Linked DNA regions of Mus musculus: all the other regions are reported to be linked to region 1. Evidence: microRNA targets listed by miRTarBase, many of them from high-throughput screens and not tested one by one. Region 1 holds a microRNA gene; each other region holds the end of a gene's coding sequence. Distances are between the middles of the regions.

The links. The annotated mature microRNA mmu-miR-703 reads AAAACCUUCAGAAGGAAAGAA and lies in region 1 at 1,003-1,023, shown strand. An mRNA with a match to its seed (bases 2 to 7 or 8) in the 3' UTR can be bound and repressed. Matches are read on the target gene's strand: a 7mer-m8 pairs with bases 2 to 8, a 7mer-A1 pairs with bases 2 to 7 and ends in A, and an 8mer does both.
Region 2: the mRNA of Prex2 is a reported target of mmu-miR-703. Seed matches in the 3' UTR shown: 7mer-m8 at 1,608-1,614 and 7mer-A1 at 544-550.
Region 3: miRTarBase lists Ptcd1 as a target of mmu-miR-703. Seed matches in the 3' UTR shown: 7mer-m8 at 802-808.
Region 4: miRTarBase lists Gpr3 as a target of mmu-miR-703. Seed matches in the 3' UTR shown: 8mer at 1,115-1,122.
Region 5: the mRNA of Phex is a reported target of mmu-miR-703. Seed matches in the 3' UTR shown: 8mer at 2,037-2,044.
Region 6: the mRNA of Usp43 is a reported target of mmu-miR-703. Seed matches in the 3' UTR shown: 7mer-m8 at 3,023-3,029.
Region 7: miRTarBase lists Tlx2 as a target of mmu-miR-703. Seed matches in the 3' UTR shown: 7mer-m8 at 842-848.

Annotation. Positions count from the first base shown.
Region 1 is chr5:98,472,571-98,476,638 of GRCm38, reverse strand. Mir703 (microRNA 703) reads left to right here and starts at 975; the gene lies at 975-1,083. The region is part of intron 2 of Cfap299 (cilia and flagella associated protein 299); the gene reads right to left.
Region 2 is chr1:11,297,307-11,301,374 of GRCm38, reverse strand. It overlaps Prex2 (phosphatidylinositol-3,4,5-trisphosphate-dependent Rac exchange factor 2), which reads right to left. Exons shown (of 40, transcript NM_029525.1): 40 at 1-3,667. The coding sequence ends at 3,622. Among named protein-coding and RNA genes, the nearest start is that of A830018L16Rik, 110 kb to the left of the region's middle.
Region 3 is chr5:145,144,797-145,148,864 of GRCm38, reverse strand. Ptcd1 (pentatricopeptide repeat domain 1) reads left to right here. Exons shown (of 9, transcript NM_133735.2): 9 at 360-1,487. The coding sequence ends at 533. It overlaps Bud31 (BUD31 homolog), which reads right to left. Exons shown (of 6, transcript NM_001310771.1): 4 at 3,844-3,966; 5 at 2,256-2,422; 6 at 787-1,030. The coding sequence ends at 980. Among named protein-coding and RNA genes, the nearest start is that of Bud31, 6.5 kb to the right of the region's middle.
Region 4 is chr4:133,206,990-133,211,057 of GRCm38, reverse strand. Gpr3 (G-protein coupled receptor 3) reads left to right here. Exons shown (of 2, transcript NM_008154.3): 2 at 1-1,718. The coding sequence ends at 691. Among named protein-coding and RNA genes, the nearest start is that of Gpr3, 3.5 kb to the left of the region's middle.
Region 5 is chrX:157,162,096-157,166,163 of GRCm38, forward strand. It overlaps Phex (phosphate regulating endopeptidase homolog, X-linked), which reads right to left. Exons shown (of 22, transcript NM_011077.2): 22 at 1-3,567. The coding sequence ends at 3,465. Among named protein-coding and RNA genes, the nearest start is that of Gm52451, 97 kb to the right of the region's middle.
Region 6 is chr11:67,851,731-67,855,798 of GRCm38, forward strand. It overlaps Usp43 (ubiquitin specific peptidase 43), which reads right to left. Exons shown (of 15, transcript NM_173754.4): 15 at 2,793-4,068. The coding sequence ends at 3,751. Among named protein-coding and RNA genes, the nearest start is that of Gm40032, 9.2 kb to the left of the region's middle.
Region 7 is chr6:83,065,386-83,069,453 of GRCm38, reverse strand. Tlx2 (T cell leukemia, homeobox 2) reads left to right here. Exons shown (of 3, transcript NM_009392.2): 2 at 163-400; 3 at 480-1,129. The coding sequence ends at 696. Dqx1 (DEAQ RNA-dependent ATPase) reads right to left here. Exons shown (of 12, transcript NM_033606.3): 11 at 3,174-3,364; 12 at 2,235-3,021. The coding sequence ends at 2,862. Among named protein-coding and RNA genes, the nearest start is that of Tlx2, 2.8 kb to the left of the region's middle.

The DNA.
Region 1 (4,068 bases):
TGGCAACGTGCCACAGAATCTTCAGCAAAGTCACGTAGGAGACCTTCATCCAAACACAGACAATAAGGAGTAGGTGTTCCCCCCCAAAAGGTAATAGAACATCCCATTACACCCAGCCACTAGACACAGAAACCTGTGGAAGATGTGGCCTCCCTGCAAACACACTGTGGGTTTCAGGATCTGATGGGCTAAGGGAGCAGCTGTACTCTCCATGTGAGATGCCCCCTCATGACAACCACAGACTCCTTTCCTAAGTATCAAAGTCCTAAAGTCCACAGATAACAACAGAGCAACTCAATGATTTACCACAAATATCTCAAAATAAAACTACTAATGTTTCCAAAGAGAATAATGTACTTATTGAAAACAGTGTTCGATTTTTTTGCAGATCTTTTTGCCTTAGGGTACATACTGTAGCGAGTGGTCAGAGACTGTTTTAAAGCTCTTTAGGCTGGAAAAGGTATGAGGCAGCTTTTCACTACTGGAACGAAACATTGAAGATAATTCACTGAAAAGGTGGAGGAGTTTCTTTTGGCCTCTGGTTTCAAAAGACGCTTCTTATAGTCTGATGGTTTTACTATACTGGTTCCATCCATCTAGTGACTCCAATAATATCTCCTTAGTTGTTGGGAGGATCCATTGATGCGTCTCATCATTGGAAAGTTTCACTGATGTCACTCAGAGTTGAATGGCCCCACTGATGGTTCTCATGGTTGAGGCACCACTGGCCTGTGGTAACATCATATATGATGATTGGAGTCATGTGGCAGACAAAAATAGGTTTACCTCACAATGGCCAGGATGTACAGAAGAAAGAGGAAAGGACCACAGGTCCAATAATTTCTTCAAGGGAATACTGTGTGACCTAACTTGCTCTTGCTAGGAGATTCCTCCACCACCTCCTTCAGCTGCTTAAGACTCCGTCCCTCAGAACTGTTTGTCTCAATTGGCCATTTAAGTTTAATAAAAGTAAAAGACTGGTTAATGATAACAATGCATCATAAAACCTTCAGAAGGAAAGAATGTTGTGGACCATTTTTTTTTGTGTGTGGCAGTTTTAAGTTATTAGTTTTCAAAATCAGTACTTTTTAATGGAAACAACTTGACCAAAAATCTGTCACAGAATTTGAGACCATTAAAACAAGTTTAATGAGAAAAAAAAAAAAAAGACTCCGTCCTTAGAAAACCATCATTTCCTCTCTTCATTACTGATAACTGATTGGGCTCATTCCATTTATTTGCTATGATAAACGCTGCTTCTCAGTAAATAAGCACTCTTTAGATTTGTGATTTATGAACCATGATAATGACAGTAGAGGCGTCATGAAACATATCCTTCCCCCTCCACCTCCTTGAATCTGATAATGTCCCACAGTGAAATACAGGAAAAAATACTGGTCATGATTTTTTTTTCTGCTCACACATATAACAAAGGCAACCATATTGAACTTACCATGCTATGAAAACTTCACACCACATAGAAAAGCTCAAGTGAATGAGTTGTCATATGAAGAGAGAGACAGACCGGCCACTAGTCAGAGAAGTTAGTCACCTATAATGTGAATGAAGGCTCCATCTTTGAAGTGTATCTCTAGCCACAGCTGAAGCTACCTCAGATGACACTAGGTAGCCCCTTCGGAGGTCCTGAATTATATAACAATGAGGCTTTTAAATAGGCTTTTAAGACTCAGATATGTATTGCAGAGAAATATAACAAAAACCAGATGTTTAATTATATATAATAAATTATATTTTCAGTTATAAACTTATTTTTTCTTATGGCTGACCAAATAAATTCTCTTCACATGTAATGAGGAGAAAATGGAAGGTTACATTTTATTTCAATCAACTTCTAATTTTAGACATGGCCCTATCCATCATAGCTAGCTATACATATATATACTTTATAACTACTGGGTTCAATAGTAAATTTGTTCAAGTTTTGTTTAACTCTCTGGAAAGTTGCCTTCATATTAACAAAGTATTTCCTGGTTTCATTAATGTCTCTTGTTTCTACAGCTTTTAAAATATTCTGTGCCATTCAAATACTTAGGTGATGTCTCAGAAGAAATCTAGATAATAAAATGAACCACTGATTTCCAATAAAGGACATTACAGCTCTGCTATTCCAGTTGAGAATTTCATCTGGCTTGGTCAGAGTAAGATACACAGTCACATCTGTACCATGAAAATATTTAAAGATCAGGACCACAGAAGGAATATTTTTCTTTTTTTTTCCATGTTTGCTTTATAGAAAATAATATGAATAGTGAAAATTTTTATTATTTATTTATTTATTCATTTATTTATTTATTTATTTATTTACATCTCAAATGTTGTACCCCCCTCCCTGTCCCCCCTCACAGAGTTCTTTCCCCCATCCTCCTCCCTTTCATCTCTGAGTGGGTGATCTACTCCAGGCATCCCCCTTCCCTGGGGCATCAAGTATCTACAGGAAATTTCCATTCTAGGGCTCTCTTCTCTTTGGTAAAATTAGGGTCTATTAAATTTCTGAATATGCATGTAAACTCAGTTAAGTAGAGCTGTATTTCTGACTTAAAACAGTGATGCATAGTACTATTTACTAAATGACACTCCATACAGAATTACTTCTTATGCTGGATAAGGAAAGAAACCTAGTTTCTATTCTTTGCCTATTTGTATCTAGATACTTCCTTGAATGATAAAGATTATTTTTATCTTAATCAAATAAATAATTTGAAAATATTAATGGTCACCTATATTACCCATATGCAAACTACAAGCATAAGACATAAGAAGAAATCTTAGCTTTATCATTGGAGGTGCCATACATATAAAATGCACTCCATGGGGGAAAAAAAACCTAGTTAATTCTGCAGTGCAATGTTGTTTCTATATTTGGTAATTTTGTGGCTAATTATCTATACTTAGAACATATATGAGTTAGGAATATCAATGTATATGTCATTGTAATTAATATATTTTAGTTATATATTCTCTATCTTCCCAACATATCTTTTATTTCTCAATTACAGAGCAGAAATGTGTGAACCTTTAAAATAAATAATTGGATTAGGAAATCATTTTCATAGCATGATTTTAATGTTATTTTTCTGGACATTTTTAGCATGCTGTCAGTTAAAAACTTTACTATAAAATTTTTATTATAATCTATATAATCCAATGTCCAAGAAATGCCTTTGTGTGGGCCTTAATATCACATATTTTATTGTTTAGTAAAATGAACAGGTAACAGTAAAAAAAAAAAAAACTGCGCTTGCTGTCAGGGATTTGAAACTCTATGGGGTACATGATCAAAAAAGTATTACTGTTGTTCGTACACTTCAGCTGGAGTTCTGCGGTTAAAAGGGTTTTGCTTTCCACTGAGAGCCCACACCTGATCAAATATTAGCAGGAATCTTTCAAACAGTGAACAGAGCAACCAGCAGCAGGGCTCATGCCCCTTCGCCAGCAATAACAATACAGTTTTTAAGGTTTTGTTACCTAATTAGCTTTCTATTAAAGCTGATACTTCTAGAAAGAGGAAAGGCATTGCACATGAGAGTGTTTACTGTTTGTTCACAGCAGAGTTTGCAGTGAATGAAAAGGCGAGATTTGTTCTTCATATCTCATATTTGGACACTTACGTGTTGGTAAGCACTCACGAGTTTAGCCGCATCTTTAAAAAAATTGGTATTTCTTATACACTTAATGTCTCCCTGAATAATATGGGAAGTTATGAAAAATGTGAATATTAAGGTAAGAAGAGCGGAGATGGAAAAGAAGCAGAACCAGGCTCAAGCTGTGACATCATTTCAGAAGCCAGGGCGGGAGCAGATTACTCCTAAGTCTAGCCAAGGCATACAGATATCTGAGCACAGAGATCTGACCAACGTCTCCACATGTGTAAGTTACTCCTATCCAATCAGCCAAGCATTCGTAAACAATGGTATACTAAATATAGGAAAGAGGAATTAAAGGGTTAAATATGGTGATTTGGGTTCAGCAAATTCAACCAAACCACAGAGAGGATTCTGAACATAACTCCAGTCAGCATATATTATAAATGAGTGAATGCATGATAGG
Region 2 (4,068 bases), not on the chromosome of region 1:
TGAATTTCTTTCTCATTGATTTTCTTCACCATTAAAGTTAACATAGGATCAACTTCATTTCTTTCTGAATTGAGCTATTCAAAGTTAAAATTAATAGAGCCAGAAATAGCACCAACCCCATGTAACACACACTGTAGTATCTTTGTTTCCTTCATGGGCCATGTCTCCCACTGTAGTTTAGACTGGCCTCACATTCATATTTATCTCAAGCTTCCCTTGAACTCCTGAAAATCCTACTGACTCTCCAAGTACTGGGATTACAGGTGTGAGCCACCATTGGTTTAAAGGAGAGCCAATATATTTTAACATGGCTTCACATGTGCTAGGCAAGCACTCAACCACTGTGCCACATTCCCAGCTCTACCTTCCTGTTTAATTGAACATCTTGTAGCAAGAAGAGGAGCCAAATGAATACACAGGGGATTGAAGACATCAGAAAACTTCTGTTAAAAGGAAAGAAAGTAGCATGCTCCTAAAGATGAGGATTCTGGTTTCCAGGAGAGAGCATGCAGTAGAAACCCAGCATTTACATATTCTGCCAAGTAAACCTGGACCAGAAATTGTCATCCTCTGTCTGTCTTTCTCTCATATTTTCAGCCCTTAAATTCTCATATTTTTACAAAATTAAATTTGTAATGTTTAAAACGAATGAGAAAATCTGTAAGATAGTAAATATGATTCTGTCCCCATAAGATCTGAAATCTCTCAATGGGTAGACAGGAATCTATGTCCACATATAGAAGTTGTAAGAACAGTAAGCAGTGTTTTCCTTAGCTTATCAATAATCCCCAGTTGCAGAGGATAGTGCAACATTAAAGTTCTAAACTCCCAAGGCCTGTAAAATTCCAATGTCAAAAGAATGTGTATATTATGGTATTGAAAATGATTACTCATCTATCAAAGGTTTTTAAGTGTTAACACTTTTAAAATTATAGTCAAATTTTATATAATGTCCTACTCCTGGCTTGCAATACATGTGGATCCTCTTCAGTTATGAATGGAAAATGCCAAGAAAATAGTTCTTGCACTTTAAAGGCATTCTGCATATTCCCACTGGACTTTGCAACATCTTCCATATAAATTAAATGACAATACATGTCATAAAACTCCAACTTTAGTCAGAAAATAATTATTAATATTATAATGGTACTCATACAACAGATAAAGGCAGTGCAATCCTTAAGACAGGTTTTAACCATTAACTTCGGACTCCCCCATGTTCATCAAGTGGACTTGTGCAAGTCACTGGGTTAGTATTTGCTTAGCAGAACTGTGAAGTACAGGTAATAAGACAAGGTCAGCTTTCATCCCTGCTACAAGGCTATGTGAAGGAGGAATATCAAAACGTGGGCTAGGTAATTAAAGGTGCCATTTAGAATACACTAAACCATGTCAGCTATGATTTTACTATGAAAAAATATGACAGTGATAGACGTTACTATAAAACACTAGCAAGCTTTATAGTTTGTAAGTGCTGTGTACACAAATAATATGTTTAACAAAAATGATAACATTAACCACATTCTGTTATATAGACTGGATCCTTAAAATACACTAATTTATAAATACTGAAAAAGCAGATAATATGCCCAGGCAATATAATCATAAAACCTTCAGAAGGAAAGAATGTTTTGTGGACCATTTGTGTGTGTGTGTGTGTGTGTGTGTGTGTGTGTGTGTGTGTGTGTGTGTGTGTATGGCAGTTTTAAGTTATTAGTTTTCAAAATCAGTATTTTTTTAATGGAAACAACTTGACCAAAAATCTGTCACAGAATTTTGAGACCATTAAAACAAGTTTAATGAGAAAAAATAAAATAAGCTTGCTTCGTAGCCCTTCTGTTCCTCTATGGAGACTTAGTGAGGCTGGTGAACACAGAAGAGTAAAGCAGTGTGAAGGGTCTGCCTAGTCGGGCAATCAGCTCTCCTTACGCTCAAGACTTTCAGAGAAGGCAGCCTGAACTACCAGAGCTTCACACTTATATGCTGATGATAGCAAAAATATTAATCCTGAAAGTTATGGATGTATGTCACATATATGCAAACGTAGGTCATATCTTTATTAAATTCAAAATGCTAAGGCTTTTTTTTAGAAACTAATGTTGGTTTCTCTATGATTAGTCACAAATAGATTTACTGAAAAATCTTATGTACTCTGTGATGAATAATTTTCACTCTTAACTTGTAGGATATATGTATCCCATACCTTTGAAGCACACTTTTAAATTCAATATATCACTGGCAGTAATGATAGCTTTTAATGATAGTCTGAAATTCATTATGAGATTTATAAAGTAAAGCTGAATAATGGTTTGCCAAACCTGTAGTTAAAGTAAGGAATTCATGTGCTTAGCCCATATCCACACACAGTTCTGTGCTGTTAGAGGTCTTTGGGCCAGTGATGCACAGCCTATAGGAAGTGGTTCCATAGGTCATAGTGTCTGAGGCCACAGTCATCTCAGCTTGTGTAAGTACACCCCATGACATTTATACGATGATAATATCACCTAAAGGCACAATTTATTCCTGTCATTAAACAAAGCACAACTATCATAATCACAGTGATGCTGTTTTAATTATTTGTAAAGATATATATTTAAAACCAATATTAATATATTTATGTGCTAAAATAATTTTAGTATATTAACACAGAAGTGATAAATATTGCATATACTTTAGAATGAATACAGTCTATACCTTGGTTCCATAAATTATCAAAGTTTTTCTCTAATGACCTTTTGAAGTACAACAAATAAATCTATTTTCATATCTTACACATATAACTTGATAGAAAAATTCTCAGGAAGGTGTGTTATTTTAACAGTCTGACATTTCATAGTAAGACTTCATATAATTAAGAATTTATCTTTCTCTGGCAAGGGGTGAGTGGTCAATACATGTATTATTTTCCATCCTCATTCACTCCTCTCTCTCCAACCTAGCAACTTCCTACCCACCGCCATCAGTGGTCCATCACGCAGCACTCATGGCTCATTGGAAAGATCAAGAAAAGCACCTGCCTACTGGAGTGTTTACAAGACCAGAGACTAGACATAACAAAAGGGAAAAAGTCTTGCCAGAACCTCTGAGCTCTCTTTGTTACCAGGAAGCCCAAGAAGAAAGGGAGGCAGGTACTTCCCTACCTCTCATATGCGCCTTTCTTGGTGACTCAAGTGGTATATGGGACACCTGTAACTCCTCATCTACACTGTCCTTAACGTTTCTGTATGATTGTTTCCAGAGTGTGGTCATCATTTTTAGGACAGACTTCTTCAAGAAAAACTATCAAGTATAATATCTGTCCATTGGGGAAGCTAAACACAAATACAATATAATTAATGAATGAGAAAGGAACCAAAATAGTTAATCTTTTATCTCTGTATATTTTTCTACAAATACGAGAAGTGAATTTTGCCCTAATGTGAATCTGTATTCTTAATGTATAGAGTGTAAGGCTGAACTGTCTGAAGGAACTTCTAGTTCCAGCATAAATGTCCAAACCAAACATCAGTTATTTACATCATGGGAAAACTTTAAATCTTTAATTTGCATCTCTTTGTCTTCGGTGGAGAATGTTAATTTGGGCAGCATCTGGAAGCATCTGTCCCATGGCACGTGGAATGCTCATTCTTCTCCTACTGGAGGTGGTGGCTCGCAGAGCTTGTACAGCCTAGAAAGGACACAGGACAGCATAACAGTCACTTATAACACCACTCTTACCTGAATATTTTTTATTGGTAGAACAAATACATCAACACTAATTTCTTGGCTCCATCAGCCATCACTACACTGATTATACTGTAGAAAATAGCATCTGAATCAGCTTAATCTAGTTTTGGTCCTGTGATTTCGAAAATGCTTCTCTTTCTTTGTGCATGTTTAGAAGGCTGATCATTTAACAGTGGTTCTCAACTGGCCTAATGCTGCAACCGGCTAATACAGTTCCTCAGAGTTTGGTGACCCCTAATCATAAAATTATTTCACAGCTACTCCCTAACTGTGATTTTGTCACTGTTATGAATCATAATGTGAATATCTAATATGCAGGAAATCTGATATGTGGGTCTTTGA
Region 3 (4,068 bases), 47 Mb from region 1:
AAGGTGACTTCCATGGCTTAGGCACACTATAGTGTTCTCAGGCTAGACGGCTGTTAGGCAAAGAGTGGTATGGCCTATTCCCAAATAACAGATTTTCCAGAACTTGGCCCTTTACAGCAATGAATCTAATGACAAATTATTTGGTAGTCTCCTTGAGGGAAGGAAGGACAGTGGTCAGCTGCTGTGACTTGGGATAATTTTGGGTGATATGCAGTAGCTTAGATTGGCTGAAAACATTTCTGAAAGCTCTGCTTTCTTAGCATATCCTGTGTTCATTGTACAAAGCTATGGGTTTCACAGTGAGGCTTCTGTGCCTGTATCTCACTCACACTGACAGTCCTGTGCATCTCTAATTATAGTACAAAGGAAAAAACACCTACTTGGAGAAGATTGATGGCTTTCGGGCTTATTACAAGCAGTGGTTGAAAGCCATGCCAGCAGAGGAAGCCCCCCACCCCTGGCAGGAGTTCCAGAACAAGCCTGTTGGGGACCAAGACACCACTGACAAGGCTGGCGGCCTTAGGGACGGATGACGGAGCACGCGGCTATGACAAGTGCCCAGCCTTCACACTGCTGGGGGAGCCTGGGAGTCCTTTCAACTTCAGAGGCCAAGAATATTCCAGAGGCACCACAGCACTTTACAGGCAAATGCTGGGCTCAGGGTGCCCAGATCATAGCAGGTCCCACACCAGGCCAAAGCATCCTGACAACGATCATGGTCACACAGCATCTACAACACAGAGCCAGGACTAAGCCCATCCCCTGGCACTCTTAAAAGAAAGAATGTAGCGAGGAGGTCTAAAGGTTTTATTTTTACAGATCTCAGCTGGTGAACACTAAAGTCGTCACCTGTACAGCTCATGCTTCCCCCCCTGGGTCTTTTCTCTGAGCACCACTCTGAGAAGAGTTGCTTCAGGCAGTGGCCCAATAAGTCTTAAGTCCAAGGTCCAAAGACCAGGATGCAGAGGAGTCAAGGGTGTCAGCCAGAGCAACCCCGGCAGCCACAGTGTGTGCACTCGATGATGCGACCCTGAAACAGAAGAAGAACATTTGAACACACTGCTACAGCCCTGCACACTCCCTTGCAGAGCATCTCTACTGGACACTTCTACTTGGGCGTCTCAGCTCCTTTGTGACGTGGAACAGTTACTACCAGGCGGAAGTTAGTGTCTGTGTGTGATTGCTGTAACAAGACACACTTGTCACTGCCAAGAGGGCGAAAGCCAGAGTTCCTGAGGCCACTGGGTGGGGATGGGGGTCCTGGAGCAATGCTGTCTTTACCTCCTTTTCTGGAGGCCACGAGCCCATTCTAAACAAATAAAGTTCTCTGGTAACGTTCTGTTAGTTTTAACTGAGTGCGTCTCATATATAGGATGACCCTAATTTTCTGGTCCTGCCAACAGCTGCTGAATGCTAGAATGACAGATGTACACTTGCACATCTGGCTCTATGGGGCACTGGAGATGGAACCTAGGGCTTCTAGGGCTTCACGCATTCTAGGGGGCCATCTACCACCTCAGGCAACATTCCAGCCCTGAATCTCAGTTAAACCTCAACCACAGGCTGGGACACCAAGAGCTTCTTGGGAAGCAGCTATTGCCCACGAGCCATGGCTCAGCACATCATACAGAGCTCCACCCTTGATACCGAGGACAGAGCTACCTGCTGAGCTGAGGCCATCTGCACTCAATGAAAACTCTGGGAATTAAGACTTGCTTCAGTGTACTGAGAGGACACAAAGTCAAAGGATGGACTGTCTGTTCTGACCTCCGTCTGGCTCTCCATTTCAATGATGTGGAGACTGGAGCCCAGCTACTGCTTGTGGGTGCCTGGCCTGCCCTTGAAAGCACTTTTTCTTCTGAAGCAGGACCTCAGTACTAGCCCAGGCTGGCCTCCACCTCCCAAGTCCTGGCTATGGAACAAAGCAGAAGGCATGCAGAGATGAATGTGCCTGTGAGACTCGAGGGATAGATAGGTCACCTGACAGCCAGCCTCAAAGCATAGCCCTCCTGTCACTTGAGAGCCACTGCCATCACTACTCCCTAAGGAGTGAGGTCTGCTGCAGTTACTCGCCCACTGACAGTACTGAGACCAGCCCCAGATACCACCTTAAAAGGATCCCTGGTCAGGACTCACTTTTGAGAAGGGTGGCTAGAAGGGTTCTAGTGATGAAACTACTTCTCAAAATACCCTCATGGTCAACTAAGACAAAGTTTTAAACAGAAAGTAACCCCCATCCAACCGCTGGGCATTACCACTTCCAGCTTGCTTTTGGGAACCCGGCAAATGCAGTTGGTGCCAAAGTTGGTGTCCCGAGTCTGAATGCAGCGTAGGCAGCATAGGTTCTCATAGCCCTGCTTCTTCCACTTTGCAATCAGGTTTTTGTCTGCATAGCCTTCTTTAATGCAGTATTCATAGAGTTCTGTCAGAAAGTTGGGGACAGACATCAGAACATGGCGTAACAAACCTGCCTTCACCTTGGACTGAAAGGAAAAGTTAGGCTGAGTATGACGGCATGAGCCTTTGATCCCAGCACTTGGGAGACAGAGGCAGAACAATCTCTAGTTCGAGGTCAGGCTGATCTATAAATTGAGTTCTAGAACAACTATGACTACATAAACCCTGTCTCAAAAAACAAAACTTAAAAACAGCAACAAAAGCCAATAATCCCAGAAATGAGCAGAGGCAGGTAGGGCATTGTGAGTGTGAGGTCAGTCTGTATATAATAAATTCCATGTCAGCCCGGGCTACAGAGTGTAGCCTTATTTCAAAAATAACAACACCAACACACACAAATGACTTCAGCTTTCATGGTAAGAAAACTGATGACTGATGGGTTTGCAAAGATAATCATTGCTTTAATTTCCATTTCTGGAGCCACGATCTCCCACTACTGCTGTGGATTTCCCTAGTGCTATTTGTATTTTGATGCTAATTCTGTTTCCCCAAGAGGGCTGCCTGGGACGTGGAGTGAATCATTACTCGGGTGACTTCATGTGAGCCTTCTCCCCATTTTAACTTGTAAAATAAAGACTAGAGCCGGTGATTGGGCAGTGGAGGGGAAGTGGAGCTAAAAAATTTTGGGGGGAGAGGGAAAAAAAAGTGAGGGGGAGAAAGAGGAGAGGAAGGAGAGAGGAACACTGAAGTGGAGGACGAGGTAGAAGGAAAATGGAGCAGCAGCACGTGGCCAAGAGAAATCACAAGTTAAGAGGGATCTCATAGCTGTAGCAGTGTAGGAGTAGATCTGCCCAGTCTAGGCACGAAGCTTGTATTCGTATTGAGTTGTGTTTTCCTTGCATGGGCTTATTTGGGTTGGAGATTTACCACAACACATTACAGTCAAGGGTTAGCTGGAACTCCCTAGTCCTCTGCCTCTGCTTCCCAAGTGTGTAAGTATAGGTCTGAACCATGACACTTGGCTTTTGTTCCCTTTCTTTTCTCTCATCCTCCTCTTCCTCGTCTTCTAGTTTTTTAAGACAAGGGTTCCTGTGTAGTCCTGACTGTCCTGGAAGTAGGACACATAGAGATCAGCCTGCCTCTGCCTCCTGAGTGCTAAGATTAAAGGCATGTGCCACCAGACCCAGCTTTTTATAAACTACTGTATAAATCCTGAAAGCCACTCAAGTACAAAAGAGCCAAGAGGCAAGATGGCCCAGGGACCAAGAATGCTTTCTAGATAGGTCTAATGACCTGAATTGGATCCCCCAGACCCACATGGCAAAGAGAACCAAAACTGCAGGTTGTCCTACAACCTTCACACGGAAGTCAAAACACATGCTTGCCTCCATAAGTATGGACACACAGTAACAGTTTTTTTAAAGGTCAAGAAATTTAGCCATTTACCTCTGCTTATGGCTTTCCTCTTGTAAAAGAGGTCGAAGATATAGCGGGTTTTCTGGTGATGGATCCTGAAGATGGGCCACAGAGATTCCACTTTCCTCTTTCCCTCATGGGGTTCAGTTTCAGCTGGGAAGAAAAAAAGCATGTATGTGTTCTGGAGCTAGTCATTCTACAGAGGATGTAGCATGTTTGCTTAACTATAGCTATGACTATTTTATATCCATGCAG
Region 4 (4,068 bases), not on the chromosome of region 1:
CTGCATTGGCTCACCAGAGATGAGCTTGATGCTGGTCGGCGTGCTAGCAATGGCCTTCACTGCCAGCATCGGCAGCCTGCTGGCCATTACCGTTGACCGCTACCTTTCCCTGTACAATGCTCTCACTTACTACTCAGAGACAACGGTAACTCGGACTTATGTGATGCTGGCCTTGGTGTGGGTGGGTGCCCTGGGCCTGGGGCTGGTTCCCGTGCTGGCCTGGAACTGCCGGGATGGCCTGACCACGTGTGGTGTGGTCTATCCACTCTCCAAGAACCATCTGGTGGTTCTGGCCATCGCCTTCTTCATGGTGTTTGGCATCATGTTGCAGCTCTATGCCCAGATCTGCCGCATCGTCTGCCGCCATGCCCAGCAGATCGCCCTCCAACGACACCTGCTGCCTGCCTCTCACTACGTGGCCACCCGCAAGGGCATCGCCACATTGGCTGTGGTGCTTGGCGCCTTTGCTGCCTGTTGGTTGCCCTTCACTGTCTACTGCCTCCTGGGAGATGCCGACTCTCCCCGTCTCTACACCTATCTTACCCTGCTCCCAGCCACCTACAACTCCATGATCAACCCTGTCATCTACGCCTTTCGCAACCAAGATGTGCAGAAGGTGCTGTGGGCCATCTGCTGCTGCTGTTCCACTTCCAAGATTCCATTCCGGTCCCGGTCCCCTAGTGATGTCTAGTTTCATCCTGGTGAACCTGTGGCTTTGACTACTATAGAACTCCAGAGTGTTAGGTCCACCAGGGCTTAATTCCAATCCCCAGCTCCACGCCCTTAAGACCCAGCTGGTTCTGGAGTTCTAGGACGTTGGGTGTTTTAGGATCTTATTCAAGATTCCTGCGGGGGGCCCACCCCAGCTGACCGCGTGGCTCTAGAATGTTCCAGATGGTCAGGGTCCCACTCGGAAATGTCTCACAGCCCAAGTGGTTTGCAGTTCCAGAAGGCTGGGAATTTTACAGTACCATTCCAAGTCCTTGATCTTCCTTCCCAGAAACTTGACCTTGATCATGTCGCTTTTGAATTTCGAAGCTCCAGAGTCAGAGGTTAATCACTTAGTTGCCTAGATGAGAGAAAGATTTATCTCTATATATGTGGACATACAGAGAAGGTTTATTTATTTATTTATTATTTATTTATTTATAAATTTGCTTATGGGTGGTAAGGGGGAAAAAAGAGACCTACACCTAGAAATCTAGCTCATATCAGGGTATCCTCAGCCTCCATGACCCCATTTCTGACCTCAGTTTCCGAAGGGGGCGGGATGGAAAAAGAGAAACCACGTATTTTGTTATTTTTGCTTATTTTTTATCAGAGAAATCATAGAAACCAGAGCCTCCTCCCCAGGCCCGCACTGCTCGGGTTTGCAGGGAGAACACACCAGCCTCTGGTTTTTTATTTTTTTAAGAAGCCATCACCTGAGCAACCGAGAATTCCTCTGCGCTGAGGCCCGGCTTCCCTCTGGTGGCCATTTGGGGGAATTGCAAACCGACAAGGCAGTCGGGATTGTAAAATGCACCCCCATCTCTCACTCCAGCCTGGCTTTCAGCGCCACAGCCATGGCCTGGGGGCCAGGCCTTACCCTGAGGTGCCCGAGAGGAGGCGGGACAAGAGCCAGTACCCCCACCCCTCTGCCAATCGGGTTATGGCCCCCAGTGCATTCCTGTTCAGTCCCCAACCCTACTCAATAAAAAAAAAATGGTTTTTTTGGATAAATGCTTGTGTCTGTGCATTTGCATAGTGTGGAGTTGAGCCAGAATAGTGGGACCCATAATGCATCTGGGAAATTAGTATCCCTTGGACCAAATCCTGGACATCAACTTGCAAGAACCTCCCTATCCAGGGACGAGAACCAGGATACTCCTCTTAGTTTGAAGGTCCCCACAGCTTGTCCACAGTAGCCAGATCAGGGCTTAGGCATGCAGAACATGTTTGTACCATGCAAGTTCCCTTCACAGCAATAGCTGCCTTCCACTGTGTTTCCTCTGGGCTACATTGTGCTAAGGGTACATGCCTAGCTAGGATGGATGGCACAGGCTATCTGGTCTCCACCTTAAATGTATGAGAAAACTGCTGAGGTCATACAGCTAGAAATACAAGATAGTATTCAAACCTGGAACATCTGTTTCCAAAACCTGTCCTCAGTCTCCTGGACAATGACTTTTCCTGTTTGTTTGTTTGTTTCCTACCCTGGAGCTCAACCTTCTGGACCTTGCCTTATGTCCTTGGGATCAGTGGCCCACATTTGGGAGGTGGTCGCATTGGAGAGCTGGTGTTCGCAACTGGACACTGGAACTGCAGGGGCTTAGGAAGGGAGGAAGCTCATCGCAAGAGCAGAGGCAGCGTCAAGGGAAGCTCTGAGCTGGGGCCGTACACGCCTGCATTCTCTGTGTTGGAGAGGCAGAAGCCAGAGGAACATGAGGTACCAGGCCACCCTCAGCTACACATTAAGTTCAATTCCAGCCTAAGGCACTTAAACCCTAGCAACACCGTAGCAAGGGTGGAGAAACAAGAGTTAAGAGCTGCTTCTACAGAGGACCTGGGTTCAATTCCCACTACCCACATGGGGGCTCCCAACTGCCTGTTACTCCAGTTCCAGGGGATCGATCCAGCACTCTCTGCTGGGGACAGATACACATGTAGACCAAACACTCATTCACATAAAATGGAAAGGCAAACAACGGTGGCAGTACGTGTCTATAATCCCAACCCTAAAAGGCCAGCTTCAGCTCATAGCAACTTTGAGGCTAGCCAGCTATGTAAGGCTCTATTTCAAGAATACATACATACATATGTACGCCCATACATACCTACGTATGCATGCTCTGACTAGGTCAGCCGGAAGGAATGGTCCATCTCATGAGAACATTTCTGCCCACGTTACAGTTCTACCATCACACAGCTAGAGAAACTGAGGCCCCAAGATGAGCAGCTTGGTCAAATTCAGTTGTGTCAGGTCTGCTGGGACCACAGTTCTATCTCCATTCCCCAAGTTCCTGCTCTTTTTCCTAGAGTTCAAGACTCCTCTCTAACAGAGGCTCCAGGGTCCAACTCGCAGGCACACAGTGAGGGATGCCTACTAGCTCAGGCCGAGCCTTGACTGTTCTCTCTCCTCACCTTTTTTTTGGAAGGTCCCTGGGAGGAGCTCTTCACTGGGCAAGCTCCTGCTCCAAGCCAAACTGGAAGCCAAACAATTCATAGACTAGCGCCTCGGCATAGGCAGCAGGGCAGATGCTCCATGCTTGAAGAAGATGGATGCTGGATATAATGGCATGTCTATTCCCAGCACTGAGACATTAAAGCAGAAGGCCAGAGGCTCAAGGCTGGCCGCAACTACATTGTAAGTTCAAGGCTATTCTGGGCAACATGAGACTCTGTGGCACACGCCTTTAATACCAGCATTCAGGAGGCAGAGGCAGGCAGATTTCTGAGTTCAAGGGCAACCTGGTCTACAAAGTGAGTTCCAGGACAGCCAGGGCTACACAGAGAAACCCTGTCTCGAAAAAAAAACCAAAAAACAAAAAAGGGCTGGAGAGATGGCTCAGCAGGTAAGAGCGCTGACTGCTCTTCCAAAGGTCATGAGTTCAAATCCCAGCAACCACATGGTGGCTCACAACCATCTGTAATAACATATGATGCCCTCTTCTGGTGTGTCTGAAGACAGCTACAGTGTACTTACATATAATAAATAAATAAATCTTTTTTAAAAAAGAGAGACTCTGTTTCAAAAAACAGATAAACAAAAAATACAAAAGAAGAAGGCTTTGTGAATAAGTTGAGCACCGTGACACAGACCTGTAAATCCCAAAGTGCTATGTAATTCCAGTTACTGAGGCAGGAGGATTGCAAGTTCCAGGTTTCTCTGGGCTACAGAAACTCTGATAGTAACAAGCCATCACCTACTCCCTGATGTTCTTGCAGATAGCTTAATGTCTAGTAGAGGAACTAGAAAAAGGTTTCCAATCATTACAGTTAGAGCTGAAGAGATGATGTAAGCAGTTAAGAGCACATACTGCTCTCACAAAGGAACTGAGCTCGCTTCTCAGGACTCACACTGGGCAG
Region 5 (4,068 bases), not on the chromosome of region 1:
TGTCCTTAAAATAATGATTCTCATTGCTTCACAAAGGAAAAAAATCACAACCAAACCAGTCTGATAGTAATGACATAGATTGTTTTTAAACTGCACAGTACAAGAACATCTTTCTTAAAACCAATAAAGCATTGCCACTAGTGATAAAGATGTTATTCCATGGAACAATCATGCAGTTTTCCACAATTTAAGATGTACTGTGACATTATGCTAAAAATATCAAAGGCAGTGGCTACCAAATGATAAGCAATTTTAGAAATGCTGGTGGAATAAACATATTAGAAAAGAAGATACTCTAAGAGATGCAAGTTAATCCAAAGATCAGTATCCCGAAGCACAAAACCTGTCCTTCCATGCCCTGAGATCTTGGACAAGCAATTCTAAGCTTTCCCATTTCTCTTGGCATGAGCACTCTCTGTCTGCTGAGCCTTAGTTCCTAGTTTCTTCTTAGTGATGCTCTAGGGCTAAATAAGATAAAATTTATGGGCTATGCTTTAAGCTCCATTGACGTAAGGCACTAAATAAGCTTGAGGATAATTTATGAAATCTGATCTTACAGCAGTCATGCCCCAATCCATCTAATAAAAGAGAGTGAGGCAGGAATAGGAGGCCTATACTGAGTATTTGGTGAAAAACTCAGCAAACTTTGGACAACGGTAGTAAGGCCAAACAACACAGCTTTAAATCTACAGAGTCCTTGACTCACAAAAGAGAATTCCACACACATTAAAAAAGAAAAACTCCTTCAAATGCCCAGTTAATAATCCACTTGCAGAACAGCTGCTATATGAGTCAGAGCAGTGTGTTGCTGTAGCCCTAGTCTGAGATCCAATATTTAATTTCCCTTTGATTTACCATAATTATTTTTAAAGACTTTTTGGTTCTCCTCCAGTGAACATGTATATCAAGGAGCAAAAAAGATGCTGTCTTGTTTTCCTTAGGCTAGCTCCCCCTGCTTTTCTTCCATTCTTCAATTATGTCTGACTTTCTCTACCATTTAATCAGTGTCTCTTTAGGAAATCAAGCTGCACAGAGAACAATATTGTAGTTTGAAGGGTTTAACCAAAACACTTAAAAAGCTAGCACTTGTAGAAAATGTGTGTGGCTACTAAGAGTAATTTTGTATCTCTTGAAAATCCAAGTTGATCAAAATACTTAGTTACTAATCCTGTCATCCAGAAACTGGGAGAACTCTAATCACTAACCAGTCGTCCTTAACCAATAAACCAATACCATTTCCAAAGTCATAAATCTATAGTCTTCTCAAACACACTCTCTGACCTGCAGGAATGTGTTTGCTTGGAATTGTTAAAAAGGAAACTTAGAAGGAATGCACTATTTATATAAGCCTGGCAAACTTCGGTGTTCAGGAATAAAAATGAGTATTGACAAATCAGAATGGCTACACCAGAGAAAAGGCACATATATTTCTAACACCTCACATGATGCTGTTTGTGTTTAGAAATACAAGCCAAGGTCACTTTAAACCATGGATAAGAGGAAGAAAAGGCTGCTGCCCTTCAGAAGTGTATCCATTCGGAGAGGAGGAAGTCAAGGGGAAAATCACTCTCCTCAGACTAATGCAGTGTAATTGTTTTCCTTATGATGATGTCCTTCCATTTTTCTCTCTTTGGAAGTTCCCATGGTTACAAAAGGATATGGTTCACACTTACATTTCTTTTATAAAAGAATGACAAGTCACAAGGATGCAAAATTGACCTCCTGTGGTTCATCTGAATTTGTCATTTTGCTTTTGAAAATTTTCTATTGGCCCACTTAACCAGCACGCCATGTACAATGAATAATGTGTTGGGGGTAGGAAAATGCCTATACTAGATTAAAAATATTTAAAAAAAAAAACAAGAAGTACTCACCACTTCAATGCCATTACAATTTTATCCTACATATACTCTTAAATGTGATAAAAATGCCCTACATAAATACACACTAACACTAAGTTAATTAACACTATAGGTGTTGATTAAAAAAATAATGTTCTAAAGATCAAAATACAGTACTGCTTTTAGAAAAAAAAATAAACCTTTCATAAGATGTGAAGAGTAAAGCTATGTCCTTTAGATCTAGGTAGGATTGCTTAAATTGGATTCAGATATACCAAATGCTTTCATTCTAGAAGCTTTTGCAAAGATTTTCTTTTAAGGAGAGTTAACATTAAGTGGGCTGAGACAGAAGAGCATCTTGCCCCCTCCTCAGCGTGGCGTTTATATCATTATGCTAAAAGGAAATGAAAGCCATATGTTCCTGACATGGAAACAAAACATTCTTTCCTCAGTGTCTACTCAATTCAGTCAGGAAATAAACACAGCTGAGCAGAACAAAACAAAATCAGAACTGCTCCTTGACTGCTATCCATCAGACAGATGCTCACCATCATACAGAGGGACTGGATCAACGTTTGCAGAGTTCATTTCCTACTATCTTTATTGTTGTGTGATTGGTTGTTGTTAATAGTTTTTAATGCTGCTGGCAGTTAAAGACGTATTGGTTTTTTCCCTGTTTTATAGACCCAAATCCTTCACCTTTATGCCATGTTTGTTCATGCTTACTTAAACAGGGCAGTTAGCTACATCGGATGGAAGTTCTGAGATACAATTGTCCAATAGACTCCAAACCTGAAGAGAAAAACTTCCTAGTCGGCCATCATTGGGAAGAGAGGCCCCTTGGTCTTGCAAACTTTATATGCCCCAGTACAGGTGAACGCCAAGGCCAAGAAGTGGGAGTGGGTGGTTAGGGGAGCAGGGTGAGGGGAGGGTATAGGAGACTTTCAGGATAACATTTTAAATGTAAATGAACAAAATATCTAATAAAAATTGAAAAAAAGAAAAGAAATTATAAAATGAAGATCCAACACATTTCTAATTTAACTACCTTAGAATTAAGAAATGTTGTGTAATAACTGTACACCATAGGGCACACGTCTTTATCATTGAGGGTGACAATTTTCATTGACTGATCCTTTCTATGGATACACTCTACTCAGGCCCCCTGCAAAGCTGTAGATTGAAATGTCATGTACCACCGAGCTGTGGTTAACAGAAATGGATAATAGGGACATCGCCAGGAGCAGTTTAACCAAATAGCCTTGACACTTTTTTTTCATTGGTTTGGCTTTCTTTAAAAAAAAGAAAGAAAGAAAGAAAAGAAAGGAAAGGAAAGGAAAGGAAAGGAAAGGAAAGGAAAAGAAAAGAAAAGAAAAGAAAAGAAAAGAAAAGAAAAGAAAAGAAAAGTATTTGGCTCAGTTCTTGAATTCCTTTTATAAACCCAATGACTTTGAACAGATACTGTTTAGATCGAAGCAAATCATCTACCCAAATAATGAAAATGCATTAAAAATAAAAGTCTTCAAGGAAATATAGGCAGAAAGCAGTAGGTGCTAAGTATGTTAATGCGTCCTCTACTGGCATTCCTCAGCTATGCCAGGAAGGCAGAAACCAGCACTCCAGCTACCAGAGTCGGCAGGAATCTGCACCTCTGTTCATAGTGGAATTTCGTGGACAGTTAAAAGCTTTCTGAAATTCTTCAAAGTTGCTAATGGCACCATTGACCCTGAAAAACAAAAGAAATGGCAAAATACATGTCATTCAATTCCTACAAATCCATGGGTTCTGGATGAAATACTCCACTACAAAGGGGTCTTACATTCGCTTATTCTGTTTACAAGGAAGACACCTAAATCTCAGATAATGAAGAAAATAAATTAATGCCATTAAGAACAAAAATCAAGTGGGAGGGTGCTTTCAGAGCAGGGGAGGGAGCCATCTTGGGTCCCGGTTCCATCAGAGATCAGTTGGCACAGGTCAGCTCACAGACTGCTAAGGGTGAGCTAGCGGACTGCAGAAGCAACACAGCTTCTGGGACAGACCCCATTTCAGGATCCAGACATCCAGGCACCTTCCCAGCCAGAGGAGAGGTATCTGCCTGGGAGGGCTCGGCCTGACCAGGTCAGGGAGCCATCTTGGGTCCCAGATCCCTCAGAGACTAGTCTGCACAGGTGAGAGAGTGGACTACAGGAGCTACACAGCTTCTGAGACAGGAAGAAGCTACACA
Region 6 (4,068 bases), not on the chromosome of region 1:
TCAATCAATCAATCAATCAATCAATCAATGACAAGCTGGCAGGAGCTATTGTATTCATCCACATCTCCTTCCCCCTTCCCCAGCCTTTCCCATAAGAAATCGTTTTTTTTTGCCTGGGCCACACTCACAGGAATTCAAGACCCTAGGAGGCTTTGTCAGCCAAGTGGCCCCAGTGGAAACTAGTTCTCTCCTGAGGCTATTTCAACATCCCGAGAAGTCATTTGGTCTCAGCGAGTGGCAGAATGCCACTCAATGCCAAGTGACCCACATATTTATACCATTAATACTTGAAGTTTGAAATTACCTTGGTTACATCCACTACATTGTCTTTTCCAACTACTACAGGTTGCTTAACGGCAGTAATTTGTGTATTTCATGTCCTATTATCCCGACAGAGCCTGAAGCAGTATTTACCACCCAGTGAGGCCTGGGGATGTTTACAGTCAATTATGGTAAGTTCGGGGACATCACTTAAGCAATCCTGCCAAAGATCTAAAGTGAACCAAAGCAAAATTGCATCTCTGGAAGAACAAAGTCAAGGCCACAGACACAGAAAACAACCTGCCACCTGCCCTATTCCTATCACGTCTGCACTCAGTCCCCCAATTTCGTGCACAAGTGAGATTTAGAGAATTTATCAAAACTTAATCAAATAGCAAGCCCAGTGACAAGGAGTTTTTCAGATGCCGACTTCTTGCTGGAATGAATACCCCTGAGACCTGGGCCCCTGGGGCAAGCTGTTGATTTTACCCCAGTGGAAAACAATTCACCATTCTGATGAGCAGGAAAGGCCAGAAGCAACCCATGGCTGGGGTCTGGGCCAGATGGTCCCAGGTTCCTTTAGTGGCTTCTTATTCAAAGGACTGGAATAAGGGCTTACACTTATTTGTGAAAGCAAGCAACTTAGTTCAAAGTGAAGCTCAGATTAGGCAGGAGTGCACTATCAAGATTAACAGCAGAACACAGGAGAGTACTTACAGGCCCTGCTTATTGCTTGAGGCTTCCTTTTATGGGGCTCAAAGGAAGAATATGGTTGCTAAAAGGCCCAATATGAATGGTTCTCTGTTTTGATTGGTAGATTATGTCATGATATCATTTTCCTAGTGGTGCATGTCTTTTCCCATAATGCACCTGATTCTAATCATATGCACCCCCAAGTAGGCACAGGTTAAGATGGTAGGAATTCTAACTTCACTTGAGGACAGTTTTGCTTCCATATGTTCTCAAGACCAGTTCAAACTGGATCAGCCTTTCCATTCTTTCCTGATAAATTGGGGATACATCTGAACAGAAACTGTTTATGTTCTATTGCTGTGAGAGTAGGAGAAACTTGTCCCATTGTGCAGAGATGGGTGTATGTGTAGCTCGGCTAGGTGGGGGTCTGAGGCTGTCAGGTACATAGCTCAAAAAGGGGTCTATGTACTTGGAAAGGAATTGAGCTGCCAATCAAATTGGTGAGTGCTGCTGCTGCTGGTGTATGTGTGTATAAACCAAACCAAGTCAAGTCTCAGGTTACTAAACCATCCCCAAGCGCTTGCCTGCCCTAATTTGGTTTGAACAGATTATTTTAGAGTGGGCAGTGAGCAAAAATCCTGGCTCTGGTAACTTAGTAGCTGTGTGACCTTAAGTGGATTAAACTCTGTGCCTCAGTTCCTTCTTCTGTAAAGCAGAGTTAACAGTACCTACCCCAGAGGATTATAATGAGGGCCAGAAGGATGCTCTGTGGGTAAAGGTGATTGCCACCAAGGCCTGATGACGTGGGTCTAGTCCCTGGGACACACATGGTGAAAGAACTGGCTCCCATAAAGTTGTCCTCTGATGTCCACATGTGCTCTGTGGCACAAAGGTGCCATTGTGTACACACACACACACACACACACACACACACACACACAATGTAACAGATCTTTTTTTCTTTTTTTCTTAAAACTGGGAGGCACTCATAATCTCAGAGTCTAGGTCATTACAAGAGAGAGGCCCGGGTGCAAGCCTGAGTTACGACTCAATTTTAGAGAACAAAGTGAGACTGAGCTTGGTGTCAGCCAGGAGCAAATGATCAGCCGCCACATCTTCCATATCACAATTTAAGAACTGAAGAAATGTGGGCTGATAGGGAACTTGTAGCCCCCCGGGGGTCTGATTGTTGGGTCTTCCAGCTTCTTGATTATGTTAGTTCTATCTTGCAACTGTTGCTTAGATGAAAGGCAAATTGTCTTTCTCACTGGGGAAAAGAAGGAATCCCATTCCTCCTGATTTAAAACAAAACAAAACAAAACAAAACAAAACAAAAAAAGCTGTAGAGACATGCAACAACGCACACGGTGGTCTGGGGGACGACTGCATTCCTGTGGCCAGCAGTCTTGAAGAAATATCCCGTGAGAAAGGAAACACCCTCCAGAGAATGTTTACCTGAGAGGCTGCCAATGAGCTGCTGCTGGCCCCAGTCCTGGGTCTAGGCTTTGCAATGTCTTTGTAGGAAACTCTAAGGTAATCCTAGACCAGGTCCTTAAGTGCAGGCAAATACATAGCAGCACACCAGCGATCACCAGGTCAGCCAGGCAGCCTCAGACTCATAGGTGCTGGCTCCTTCCAGAGAGAGAAAGAGGCCTTAGTCTCCTTCAGAAACAGCAAGTCAAAAGCTAGACACGGTGGCTCATGCCTGTCATCCTTCAGAAGGTTGAGGCCGGAGGATTGCCAAGAGTACAAGACTTGTATGGGCTACAGAGTGAGACTCTTGCCTCAAAAATATATACAAATTTAAAACATCTTTAAATGAAGGAAAGGAAAGGATGGATGGAGGCACAAATAATTTTAATTAAGAGCTTTTTTTTCCCTCTCAAGTTTCAGAAACAACACAGGCAACTGCATTCTGATAGATAGCAACAAGCTGTGACTGACTATGCAATGTAACAGGAATGAAGTGAGTCACTTTTCAAATTTCAGTAATTCAGTCCGCCATTTGCAAGTTTCACAAACACAATTTTTATTAAAATTGTGCATAGATCTCATATTTTTTTTAAAAAAACCTTCTTTATTCTGATATCAAAATAGTTATCTTTTTAAAATACCGTGAAAAGCTGTAATACAATTTTGTTGCTATATATTAAGTAATCTTCCTGAGATATCAGTCTCTTCTCTCCCATCTCTCGCCGCCACTGTCACGCTCCCATCTCTCACCGCCACTGCCACACTCTATCTCTTATTCTTTTCTTTTCTTGGCATCTTTGACACTTATCCAAGACAAGCATGAAAAGGAAAAGATCTTTCTTACAAGCCCTTTATTTTTAAAAAAATGAAAGGAAAGAATGGGAAAAAGGAGGGAGGGAGGGGAAGAGGGAGAGGAAGAAGGGAGAATAGAAGAAAAGAAGCAGGGCATGTAAGCTAGGGGCACACAAGCTGGTGAGAGTGAGTATCTGCCGTGACATCAGAGTCTTTTTAGTAGACTATGGCAGGCCCTGGACTTACATACACCAAACACTAATTTTAGCCTTGTCATGATAATTTGGGCTCAGCAGCACCGTCTAGTGGCCAGGCTGTATCAAAACCCAGCAATGGGAACCCAACCACTTTGACACCAGGTTATTGGAATATGACAAGAGTTACAGAGACCAAACTTTTCTTTTTTGGGGGGGTGGGGGGAGGCCACAAGTCAACTGGATTCTAGAAAATCCACTCTGGACACAAGAGCCTACAGATTCTCAGTGTACAGCCCCAGGGATGGCGGCTTCACACAACACTGAAATGTTTCCATCAGAAGCTGGACTCAGGTAAGGATTTCTTTCGACCTAAGGAAAGGGTGTGGTATTTCACTCTCTGCAGGGTGCCATAAGAAATCTGTTCCCCAGGAATGGTCCTTTGTGAGGTGCCAGCTGTACTGGCTCGAGGGGGCCTGCTGGCTTTTCGGGGGAGGTGGAGAGAGCTGGGCGCAGATCTGATGTCCCTCTCCATGTGGTTGCCCAGGCCCTTGGCTGGGCTCTCTCGAATCCTGAGGGCCTGCTCATTCATGGCAGCAGGGCTCAGCCGGTCACTCCCTAGGGAGATTGGGGGTGCTGGTGGTGAGCTCTCAGT
Region 7 (4,068 bases), not on the chromosome of region 1:
AGGAGGGGCAGGGTGAAGTTTGGGAGGACCCCGATTCTTCCTAAGCCCTTTCTTGATGAGGCTTCTGTGGTTGGGGGAGGAACCCCGATAAGGACTAGGGACTCTCTTCTCAGTCTCACCTCGGACTACCCCCAAACATTGCCCTGCTCTTCCGTCCCGTAGCTGCGCTCTCGCCCTTCTCTGGGACACGTCGCATAGGCCATCCCTACCAAAACCGGACCCCCCCGAAGCGCAAGAAGCCGCGCACCTCCTTTTCCCGCTCGCAGGTGCTGGAGCTGGAGCGCCGCTTCTTGCGCCAGAAGTACCTGGCCTCCGCAGAGAGGGCGGCGCTGGCCAAGGCCCTGCGCATGACGGACGCGCAGGTCAAGACCTGGTTCCAGAACCGACGCACCAAGTGGCGGTGAGGCGCGGGGCGCGGGCGGGCCGAGTGGCGGGGTAGGACCGGGACGCCCGCTGACCCCGGCTCTCCGCTCGCCCAGGCGCCAGACCGCGGAGGAGCGCGAGGCCGAGCGGCACCGCGCTGGTCGCCTGCTGCTGCACCTGCAGCAAGACGCGCTGCCCCGGCCGCTGCGGCCACCGCTGCCACCGGACCCGCTTTGCCTGCACAACTCGTCGCTCTTCGCGCTGCAGAATCTGCAGCCCTGGGCGGAAGACAACAAGGTGGCTTCGGTGTCCGGGCTCGCCTCGGTGGTGTGACCGACACCTGCCCGACGAGCGCCAACGTGGCCGGGTGCCGTACCGCCAGCGAAGAGTGAGGAGCAGAAGGCCCGCGGCCCGCGGCCGTCCTCTGAGGCTCTTTGGTCATCAGTGGCCCCTGGCCCACACTCTGACTCCGCCCTTCAAGGTTTTGTTTTGTTTTGTTTAAAAAAAAAAACCCCGCTGAGATGTGGGTTGCAAGAGCAACCTGCAGGATTGTGGATGAAGCAGGGACCCTGCAAGGCTGCGACTTTGCCCTGAGTGGGCTCAGAGCTCAGGTCCTGCTGGGAAGGGACCACAGAGCTGGTGTAAAGGCAGATATCAAAGGACAGCGGGGGAGGGGTAATGGAAGAGGCGCTGGCAGTAGAGAATGTGGCCTACTGTGACAGGGACCTCGTCCCTCATCTGTAAAACAATAACTAAGGATTCCTTCTAGCCTCAGTCTCCAGTTGTCTCCTGCCCAATCTGCGGACTCTCCATCTTGAGTTTTAACGCACTTATGCTATAGGTAAGATAGATTCTTATATACCCAGAAGATACACTCTAGAAAGAGAACCTGACTCCCGTGCCATGCAGGGTCAGAGAGCCAAGATGGGGAGCCGGTGGAGAATTCATGGGCCCAGTGTTAGAGTGAGCAAGAGACATGCTTTGGGACTAGCAAACCTAAGAAGAACCAAAGATGACCTTAAGACTGGAGATGTGTAGGCCAGGAAGGGGAAACTGGGGGCAAGATTAACAGTAGGCAAAACTAATGTTAGATTTAGAGAGAGAGAAAAAAATGCTAATGCCTGCCTTTGGGGGAATCTCCATGACATCACAGGGGGTGGAGACAGATGAAATTTTGGGTCTAAGATCTCCTGGTAAAGGCGGGAAGGCACAGGGAACTCTGGGGAGTTACATGGATTGAGCCTTTCTTTCCACAGTATTCTACAAACACATTTATGATGTGCAGGATGGTGGTGGATTCAGAAATTCGAGTAGACTAAGGGCAGAAGGGAAAGAGTTAGGGAGAAGTGAAGGATGGCGGCTTTAAGTTGGAATGTTCTTAGGAGATGGCACTTGCAGTAATCCTGACAATCTGAGTTTGAGCCCTAGGGGCAAGTTTGTGGAAGAAAACTGATTTCTACAAACTATCCTCTGACCACTGCACATGTGTTGTGGGTGTACACACACACACACAAACTATAATGAAAAATTAGAGAGACTGCAGACTGTAGGTGAGTCAGAGGGCGCAGGCTTTTGGTTAAGTGGAGGATGGTTACAAAGCTCTCTGGCTTAACAGGGAGATTTCGCCTCACTCCACTGTCCCCCTCTTGTTCCTGGCAGAGGCTAGAACACTGTGACGGGACACAGACCTGTGGTAGCCAGGTCACGGATGCTCTGTGCTAGGGACAGATATAGCAGCACAGAGGCTTGGGCGGAGGCAGGCAGGAGGCTGCACCTGCAGAAGTCGGCCTTTCCTTTTGTGTCACCTCTGACTCATGGATGTTGTATATGGCACTACAGAACTAAAAATCAAACTTGGCATCATAGAAAAATCATTTTTTAAAAAAAAGATTTATTTAGATGGGCATGGTGGCACATGCCTTTAATCCCAGCACTTGGGAGGCAGAGGCAGGTGAATTTCTGAGTTCGAGGCTAACCTGGTCTACAGAGTGAGTTCCAGGACAGCCAGGGCTACACAGAGAAACCCTGTCTCGTAAAACCAAAAAAAAAAAAAAAAAAAAAAAAGATTTATTTATTTAATGTATATGAGCACACTGTAGCTGACACACCAGAAGAGGGTACTGGATCCAATTACAGATGGTCATGAGCCACCATGTGGTTGCTGGGAATTGAACTCATGACCTCTGGAAGAGCAGTCAGTGAGTGCTCTTAACCCCTGAGCCATCTCTCCACCCCCCACCAAAGTCTTTTATAGTCTCACCAAGGAGACAAGGTTGTGTGAGGCGCCGCATGGGTGGGGTGAGTGGCATCTGCTCCCATGTCCATGGACAGAGAAGAAAAGTATGCTTGTTCTGAACTGTGGCGCTCTCTTCCCCCACTCCTAACAGTTCTTGGCTCTTGGGTTCCAGGAGTATATCTGACCCTACACTTTGGGTCTCTAAGTCTGACTGCCTTGGCGCTCTCTGATGAGGTTTGGCTCCATTCCTTAGGCAGTTAGCTCACTGCAGAACACAGCCATCTCCATACTCCTGGGGAGAGGAAGTTTCAGTCGCTGCTGCTGGTGGCTCTGCTGTTCCTTCTCTCAGCTGGTTCAAGAGGTCTCTGCTCTCACTGGGGGGCAAGTTACTCAGGAAGTATGGAGGGGCGAGCTCCACCAGCCTGACAGAGAAAGTCAGGATGGGATCATCTGTGCCTTCCCCTGCCCCTCACTCCCCGCCCTGCTTCCACCAACCCTCTTCCTACATCTCACTCCCCAGTTTGGTTCCTGGCCCTGGGAGAAGAAGGGCCCTGTATGAGTGAGGGAAACTCACATCTCAGGCTGGATCTCAGAGACAATGCAAAGGCAGTTGTCTTTCGAGATGGAGAAGCTGTGGTACAGCACCCACGTGGGTGGCTGGGCTGGAGTCCTGCGGTTTCGGTAGCTGCAGTATGGAGACAGCTGGGCTACGTGTTTATGGGTGAGAAGCAGATAATTTCCTGTCCCATCTGTGTCTCGGGCCACCTCATTGAAACACAAAAACATGGGTGGAATAAGTAAAATAAGCAATGGAGCACAGAAAATAAAGAAGGCCAAGGTTGGGCGTGGCAGGAATCCCAGCATCTGGGAGCCAGAGGAGCAGAAGTTAGAGGCCAGCCTGAGGTATTTAGAGAGTCTGAAGCCAGCTTGGACAACATGAGACCTTGTCTCATTGTTTGCTGCCTTTAAAAAGAAAGAAGGAAAGAGAAGGGGCTGCGAAAGGAGTAAGAGTATTGTAAAGCCGGAAAGTCGATCTAATTAGGTCTGCTCCTGCTTCACCATAGGACATATTCCATGGCCCCTTGTCCTCCAAACCCTCAGACCCCTATTCTAAGAGATCATATGACACACACACACACACACACACACACACACACACACACACACAGAGAGAGAGAGAGAGAGAGACAGAGAGAGAAAATGAATATCGTCAGGTGGCAATCTTGGGTGTCATTCCTCAGGTGCCATCCACCTGTTTTTGGGGACAGAACCTGGAACCTGCCATTAAGCTAGGCTGGCTAGAGAGTCCCAGGGACCCAAGTGTCTCTGCCTGCCCAGTGCTAGGACTACATGTGAACCCAGGGTTCTGGGGATTGAATTCTGTCCTTGAGATGGAGGCAGGTGTTTTACCCACTCAGCTCGTCCCCCAACTCCTCTCTCCCTGCCTTGTTTTTTTTTTTTTAATTAAA